Xenopus tropicalis: one gene and its partner. The protein of the gene in region 1 interacts with the protein of each later gene in a pairwise test. Links are inferred from orthologs where the notes say so. Each region holds a gene or a part of one and is shown in the gene's direction. Other genes may lie near its edges.

Region 1 (4,426 bases):
TGCCCTGGGTACCCCTGGAACTATAGCAGGGTGACTGTTACCCCAATGTTTCTATATATCTGTAACCTTGTTATGGGCTAAGGGGGCCCAGCCTGAAGGCCAGTTAGGGGGGGATTTGGGGTGAGTGCTTATTTGTGCCCTGGGTACCCCTGGAACTATAGCAGGGTGACTGTTACCCCAATGTTTCTATATATCTGTAACCTTGTTATGGGCTAAGGGGGCCCAGCCTGAAGGCCAGTTAGGGGGGGATTTGGGGTGAGTGCTTATTTGTGCCCTGGGTACCCCTGGAACTATAGCGGGGTGACTGTTACCCCAATGTTTCTATATATCTGTAACCTTGTTATGGGCTAAGGGGGCCCAGCCTGAAGGCCAGTTAGGGGGGGGATTTGGGGTGAGTGCTTATTTGTGCCCTGGGTGACTGTTACCCAATGTTCTGTTTTGCTCACATATATTGAATTGCATGTAGATTATGCCCCTATCCGGGCCCTGGGGCTGCTGTATGCCTCTCCCTGCCCAGCAGTAGTCTGATTTATTCAGGATTTTACATGCTTCAGACTTGCTACTACTGCAACAAATCGGTCGGTTTAGCGCAGTGTATAAATATGGATATGCCCCGCTCCATCTATCGCACTGTAGACATGAGCGTAACCCCCGGCAGTTCTGCACACACCTATGTGGGAACCATAATGCAATACAAACACTAATGTTGTTTATACAACACGTCTCAAAGAGACCCACTCCCTTTCCATGTATTCAGCTTGTGTTCAATTGCATAATGGCCCTGGGCCGTCAGAGGGGTCTAATTATAGTAATAAAGACATGTAATGGCCAAGGTATTAAAACCCCACAACCACCAGGGATTTGCTTCCAAAAAGGTAACCGATAATAGCTGTCTGCTGATTGGTTGCTATGGGATACAAGACTTCCAACAAACTTTACACCCACTTTCCCCATATTTTATAACAAAAGTTAGTGTATATATCAGCAACCCTCCTGCTGCAACTCCCGGCACCTACTGACAGCTGGGACCAGTGGCCTGTTTATCAGGGTTTAAAATGATTAATTCTATTATGTGGCCAATTAAGTGCAGTTTTAATTAAGAGCTAATTAGTCCTGCAAGATGTGGATGTGATATATACCCACTGATGTGAGAAGACACACGGAGCTACTAGTAGCAGCTACTGAAACAGATAATGCTGATCATTTACTGATAACTGTGTGTTTTAGCAGAGGCAATTCTCACTATTGTCTATGGCAGGGGATTTTCTGGTGTTTAGTAGCTGCTACTAAGTAGCTCAGTGTGACTTCACCCCAAAGGGAGTTGGCCAGCATAGTCCTAGATAATGCCTGCCCTTACACCTGCATAACTGCCCGGGCTGCCTTGCCCCGTGGGATCACGTCTCTCTTTAGTTGTGTATAAAGGAGTGCCGTGACTTTAAGAGAGGGTTCACCTGTGCAGGTTTCCTGTGGGCGGGGCTGTGAGACAGAACTGCACTGAATTGTCCGTCTTGTAGCCCAACTAGGAAGTCACAACAGTGCTGGGTGCAATGGTAACGGGCTAGTGGCATCGGGGCTGGCTACTGGATCTCCTCCATGTGACTCCTGTCATTGCTGTCAGTAAGTACCCCATGTGAGTATTATGGGGGTGAGTGTGGCTGGGGGCCGGGGTAGCCTTATTGCCCAGGCTGACCAATGGGGGGGCATTACAGCTGCACCAATTGTGTTTCTCATTCTTATTCTGAGTCTGTTTGAGAGAATTTCGCCGCCCATTTCTGCAACTTGCAGAACCGCAACAATCACAACAACATTCCTGGACACTCGTGTGTATGTTGGACAGTGCCGGGGGCTGTAGTTCAGCAACATCTCAAGGTCCAAGGTTAAAAAACAAAGCTTTAACCCTTTATGCCAATGTGATATCCCTCAAGACCGGCAGTGTATAAGCATAGTTGTTAGCTATACCTGGGTTTGCTGGTTTCTATAGTTACCTGCAATTTTTGTGCCAGGTTCTATCCCAGCGATGCCATACATAGCAGCCTATGGAGCCCGCGCTTGTGTGCCAGGTTCTATGCCAGCGATGCCATACATAGCAGCCTATGGAGCCCGCGCTTGTGTGCCAGGTTCTATGCCAGCGATGCCATACATAGCAGCCTATGGAGCCCGCGCTTGTGTGCCAGGTTCTATTCCAGCGATGCCATACATAGCAGCCTATGGAGCCCGCGCTTGTGTGCCAGGTTCTATGCCAGCGATGCCATACATAGCAGCCTATGGAGCCCGCGCTTGTGTGCCAGGTTCTATGCCAGCGATGCCATACATAGCAGCCTATGGAGCCCGCGCTTGTGTGCCAGGTTCTATCCCAGCGATGCCATACATAGCAGCCTATGGAGCCCGCGCTTGTGTGCCAGGTTCTATGCCAGCGATGCCATACATAGCAGCCTATGGAGCCCGCGCTTGTGTGCCAGGTTCTATGCCAGCGATGCCATACATAGCAGCCTATGGAGCCCGCGCTTGTGTGCCAGGTTCTATCCCAGCGATGCCATACATAGCAGCCTATGGAGCCCGCTCTTGTGTGCCAGGTTCTATTCCAGCGATGCCATACATAGCAGCCTATGGAGCCCGCGCTTGTGTGCCAGGTTCTATGCCAGCGATGCCATACATAGCAGCCTATGGAGCCCGCGCTTGTGTGCCAGGTTCTATGCCAGCGATGCCATACATAGCAGCCTATGGAGCCCGCGCTTGTGTGCCAGGTTCTATGCCAGCAATGCCATACATAGCAGCCTATGGAGCCCGCGCTTGTGTGCCAGGTTCTATGCCAGCGATGCCATACATAGCAGCCTATGGAGCCCGCGCTTGTGTGCCAGGTTCTATGCCAGCGATGCCATACATAGCAGCCTATGGAGCCCGCGCTTTTGTGCCAGGTTCTATCCCAGAGATGCCATACATAGCAGCCTATGGAGCCCATACACAGACAGTCTTGGGGGGCACATCCGGCCCGTGGGCCTCCAATTAAATAGCTCCGATATAGAAGAAGCAGTGTAATTGGTCACTTACAGTTAACATTTTGAAATTGATGTAATTGGAAATATGTTTTGAAAACCTAAACTAAACCTTACATTGCCTTTAAACTACATATCCCAGCATTCCCCCCAGACTGGTATATGACTTGTAAATAAAATTAGTTTCAGCTGTGACGGTTACTCTCTCATCGCCCCAAAGCTTTATAACCATAAGCCTGCTGCAGACTACACTGGTGTTTATACGGCCCTGTCTTGGAATTGCTAAGTCAAGTAGATTGGTCTTAACTGAAAGAGGAGGCAGCCCCATTCCCCAGATGATGTCTATGGTGCACCCCAACCTGCCGGTTATGCAGTCTCCTCTCCTGTAGGGGGACTTGCCTCGCTTTCCCCTGTTATTTCCTGGTTAAACCCAACAACCAATACATTAATATCGTCAGAAATGTTATGTGCCATAACTCAGGGATAAAGGGCCTCGGCCCTAAAACTCCCATGCCCCCGGTGGTTCCAGGTGTAGCCGCACCCAATGTGCCCCAATAGTTACAGCACTGATTCAGTATTGGGGACATAGCGGAATATGAGGGGTTGTTTATGACCCCAGGGGCATAAGGGCACTTGGGGGTACAAGAGCACAGCCCTTAGTGCTTATCTACAGAGCAATTGTGCCCCCTACATTGCGCTCTGCACTCAGTCCCTGCCTAAAGCTGCCCATACACGGGCAGATAGCGAGCGGATCTTTACCCGATATCCCAACCTACGGGTGGGCGATATCGGGTAACATGTAGGCCCTGGGGCCAAATAATCTAATTCTAACGGCGGCAATGGGCCAGTCGGTTCAGGGACCGCAACGAGCCGATGCGGTCCCCGATCCGACTGAATTTTCTAACCTGGCTGATCAATATCTGGCCAATTTCAGGCCAGATAAGGGTCATCCAGGCCCCTCGTTTCTGCCCCTACACGGGCCAATAAGCTGCCGAATCTGTCCAAGGGACCCATATCAGCAGCTACAATCAGCCCGTGTATGGGGACCTTTAGGCAGTCAGTAAAGGGCTCCAAGTTTCCTTTGCGAGGAAATGCCCCCCCCCCATGCCAAACAATCTGAGGCTCCGAAAGTGGGGGGCCACTTCCATTGTGCGTCTGAGCCTTTGGCGGCCACTTCTGCCCAGATTTTAGTTTGGCCAAATTGAGTCCAACGTGTGCCACCTGTGCTGTGTATTATTATTATTAACACTTATTTATAAAGCGCCAACATATCCCGCAGCGCTGTACAATAAGTGGGTTTCATACACTGGACATACAGAGTAACATATAAAGCAATATCGGATACCTTCCCTCGTAATGACTGGGTGCTCCCTTCCCTCCCAGGCACCCCGTGATGGCCGGGGGGGGGTGATTGTGAGCTCTGTTGACTTACA
Region 2 (3,819 bases), on another chromosome or scaffold:
TACTGAATCAGTCGAAGTTCCAAGCACCGGTTCAGTATCCCTTTCCTCTTGCCCTCTGTCTGTGCATTTATGTTTCTGTGCTTAACTCTTGCCGTGTACCTGTCTCTCCCTCCATGCTGCAGTGCACTCCGTTCTGCTTACAGGTAATGAAAGCTCCTTCCTGATTAGCTGCTTGACTTCCCACCACCTTTCTATCACTGGCTTACCAGAACACTGGCTTTTTATCTTGCACCCTGTATTGTAGGGGATTATGCTAGTTCTTTATTCAGGCAGATACACTTTAAATCATTACAACACTTAATTCAAGTGGCACACAGGTTGGATTTTGGTATTTTGCCTGCTGCATTTTTCAGTGGAAAATCATCACTGCTACTTCCCTTTGACTTAAATATGTGGCAGCTCTAATAACTGATGTTTTTCAACCCAAAAATGGTGTGTTTCAAGGCTGAAAAGCACCATTAACCTGTACTGTCATGTGTTTCCCATTCATGTGAACAAAAGGCAGCATTAGCAGTTGCTGGCACTTTTTTATCAGTTGACATATGCTAGCAGGGTATGACCCCTTGAGCCATAGGCATATTATCTGCTGCTCCCCTGTGGTGCAAATGAAGCGGCAGGCAAAGAGTCCATGTCCACCTGTTACATCTTCTTCTAAACAGGGCAAGCTTTATGCTATGCATACTGTCTTGTAAATTTAATGGACAGTCAATGGGGAAAAAAAAAAGGGTATAGTCTCCACTACAGAAGGCTTTCTGTTAATCAGGCTATTGTTGGGTTTCAGGTTTTAGCTTAGTTATACTTTTTGAGACTTGTGGTTGGCAAGTATATAATTCATTCATTGCATTGCTTGGGAGAGTGTTGGTCAGACAGTTGTACAGTAAGTTACAACTTTCACACATAAAACAACCTTATTCTGTTTTAACATTGTACCCTCTGCCCCCTCAGCTGAATGCAGAGCTCAAGCAGAGCCTCAAGCAAACTATGACCACAAAGTACAAACAGCCAGGAGAGGAGAAAGTGACCAATGCTGTGGACAAACTGCAACAGGAGGTGAGTGTGGGCTGCTCCCTTTCTTCTTGCATGTCCCCCTGGAACTGGACTTATATTTACACTTTTCTTTCTCTGCTCTGCTTAGTTTAAATGCTGCGGCAGTAATAATTCTGAGGACTGGAGGGACAGCATATGGATTAACTCTCCTGAGGCCGAAAAGCGGTTGGTTCCTGACAGCTGCTGCAAGACGGTTACTCAACGATGTGGCATTCGGGATCACCCATCCAACATCTACAAGACGGAGGTAGGAGATATATATATATTTATAATATATGCATGTCATTTTATCAGGATTAACCTTTCTTCAGTAAGGCTTATATTATTCTGAAATACATTAGGGCCTGTTATGCCTTTTCCCTGCTGCACTATGCCAGCCCTTTCCTTAGATTTACTAGTCCTCAGCCTTCCAAACATCAACATCAGCCAGGATATCCTTTCTCATTATCTGCCCCTGTTCTACATCCTTCCTTGCGTTCTGTAAGGTACTCGTAGCCTGAAGTGTTCGCCTTCAGGGATACATACAGGAAGATAATGTAACTGTGCCAAAATAAGCACCAGTTATGCCATTTTTGTACTGGGCATAAGCACATGTGTGCTAGGCTGCCCTGAGCTTACACCAATACCCCAAGCTTTTCTGACACCTGATGTTGGAGGGTCTGGTACCTAAGGCGAACAAGAGACTTTCCACAGCAGCTTTGTTCCTATAAGGAACTGATAACCCTCTGGTTAATAGGCACAGCCAGCTTGTTTGTTTCATATAACAATGACCTGTTACTTCGGGGTCTTTCTTCTCTTGCTTTGTTTTTGGGAATATTAGTTTAGTTTTCTAGAATCTGGTGGTGAAGAGCAAGGGGAACACTGTCTAAATAATGGCTAAGCTTAGGAAGTATGATCTGTGATCTGTGCCAATTTATGGAATAAGGGTGGGTTTATGGTGGGTATTAAGTGCTGCAATATTTTGCTTCTTGTATATTGTAGGAGGCATATTACAGTGTAAAATGTGATGCCAGGTTTGGGTAAGTGCTACATAATACTGTATTTACTTACTACCCTGTGAGACCTTAGAGATCTAAGCTGTGGGAAACAATACCTAAGAGCTATTAATCTGTACTGTATACTATATCTGGATTAGAGTTTACTTTATGTTCACAGATTCAGTGTTGCTAAGTGTAAGGGTATGCAAGTAAAAATATGCAAGCCACGAATACCTTAACGTATGACTATATTAGGCAAATCATTGTTGGAAAAGTACCATAGGGTATTTGTGGGTAATAAACTTGGCTGTAGCAAGCAATGCTGGAAAGGACAAACAACAAGGGGTCATAGATTTTTGGGAAGAGAAGGATTTATAACTGGTAAGGTCCCACCTGGAATATGCCTTTGCAGCATTGGTTTCCAGTTCTAAATGGGATATTACTTAATTAGAGAGAGTCCACCTAATTAGCCTTTTGGCCTTCATCACATAAAAAAAACCATTGATGCTAAACAGAAAGCTTCAACAGTGACACCCCGTGGATGTTTAGCAGTAGTTTTGTTGCACTAAAATGATGTTGTTATGAAAAACTTGTTTAAAATATCGCTAGCGCTGTATACACTCTGAGAAAGAGCCCTTTGTGGAGCAAGTCTTTGGAGATCTGAAATTCAGTTACAATTTTAAATTACAGGTTGGCGGATCCCAAGAAGTGGCCGAAGGGGCACAGAGCCTGTATGATTTAGGCAGACTGTTTATAGGTTACATAGTAGGCTAGCTTGAAAAAAAAACACAATCTGAAGCCTCTCCAATTTGCCTCAAGGAGGGACATATCACCGCCTCTACTTCTTTTGCACAAAAGTACCAAGTGAGGGCCTTTGTACTTTATGCAACTCCACCAGCGGCAAGCAGTACTGCATACAGTGTCGGGTGCAACGTTTTGTGCATCAAAATGCTGCATAACAGAACACGAAAACCAATCCGTATTATTTAAAAAACAAGTTAAACACTGGTAAAAGTCCAACCCTGGTACTGTCTGTGAAGAGCTGTATACCTCCTACGGTACAGCACCTCTGTCTGGCGTCAGTGCTACTTTTATTGTCTTCTGTTTGATAACCTTTCCTTCCTGTATCAATGCCATTTATGTGTCTCCCTTCTCTTCCCACAGGGTGGATGCATCACCAAGCTTGAAACCTTTATTCGGGCTCACCTGCTAATTATAGGTGCTGTGGGGATTGGCATTGCCTGTGTTCAGGTGAGCGACAATCTGGGTATCTTTAAAAACCTTCATGTTCTGCATTTCTTTCTATATTGTTCTACTGTCAACCTAACCCATTTGCTCCATCTTTGCCCCCTTTATCCAAGTATCCTACCTTACATTTTTTAAATTGTGTTTTTTTTCTTTCTTAGCTTTTTGGGATGATTTTCACCTGCTGCCTGTACAGGAGCCTAAAGTCAGAGCCATATTGAAAACATTTAAGACTTGTCTTGTTGCCTTGTTTTTCCCTGCTGACAACATATCCTGCTGCCTTAAACACCCCCCTGGCACTGAGGCCTGTTATGGTCCTATTGTAATGGCAGAATGTTATCTCATATCACTGTGTGGACCCTTTGGAACTCTGCGGTTTTTAACCCATGATATCATCAGCCTGCGACTGTATCCAGTGCCAAACATCAATGTAACCAAGTTCTCATGCTAGAGACTGCAAAAACAAAACAAATCCTTTCTTTTGCTTGATGACTTTTGCTAATGATGTTCGCAGCCACAGCTAGAGATCTGACCTCCGTTAAATGGGCAG

What was found.
Region 2: the proteins of gramd1c (region 1) and cd151 interact in binary tests that used the Homo sapiens proteins (3 or more experiments, as listed by UniProt). The link is inferred for Xenopus tropicalis from reciprocal best matches to the Homo sapiens genes GRAMD1C and CD151.

Annotation. Positions count from the first base shown.
Region 1 is NC_030678.2:3,306,149-3,310,574, forward strand, and holds the start of gramd1c (GRAM domain-containing protein 1C), read left to right. Parts: upstream 1-1,551; 5' UTR 1,552-1,617; intron 1,618-4,426. UniProt on the Homo sapiens protein: Cholesterol transporter that mediates non-vesicular transport of cholesterol from the plasma membrane (PM) to the endoplasmic reticulum (ER).
Region 2 is NC_030680.2:31,254,197-31,258,015, reverse strand, and holds part of cd151 (CD151 antigen), read left to right. Parts: intron 1-122; coding exon of another isoform or gene 123-143; intron 144-945; coding exon 946-1,050; intron 1,051-1,135; coding exon 1,136-1,294; intron 1,295-3,188; coding exon 3,189-3,275; intron 3,276-3,430; coding exon 3,431-3,490; 3' UTR 3,491-3,819. UniProt on the Homo sapiens protein: Structural component of specialized membrane microdomains known as tetraspanin-enriched microdomains (TERMs), which act as platforms for receptor clustering and signaling.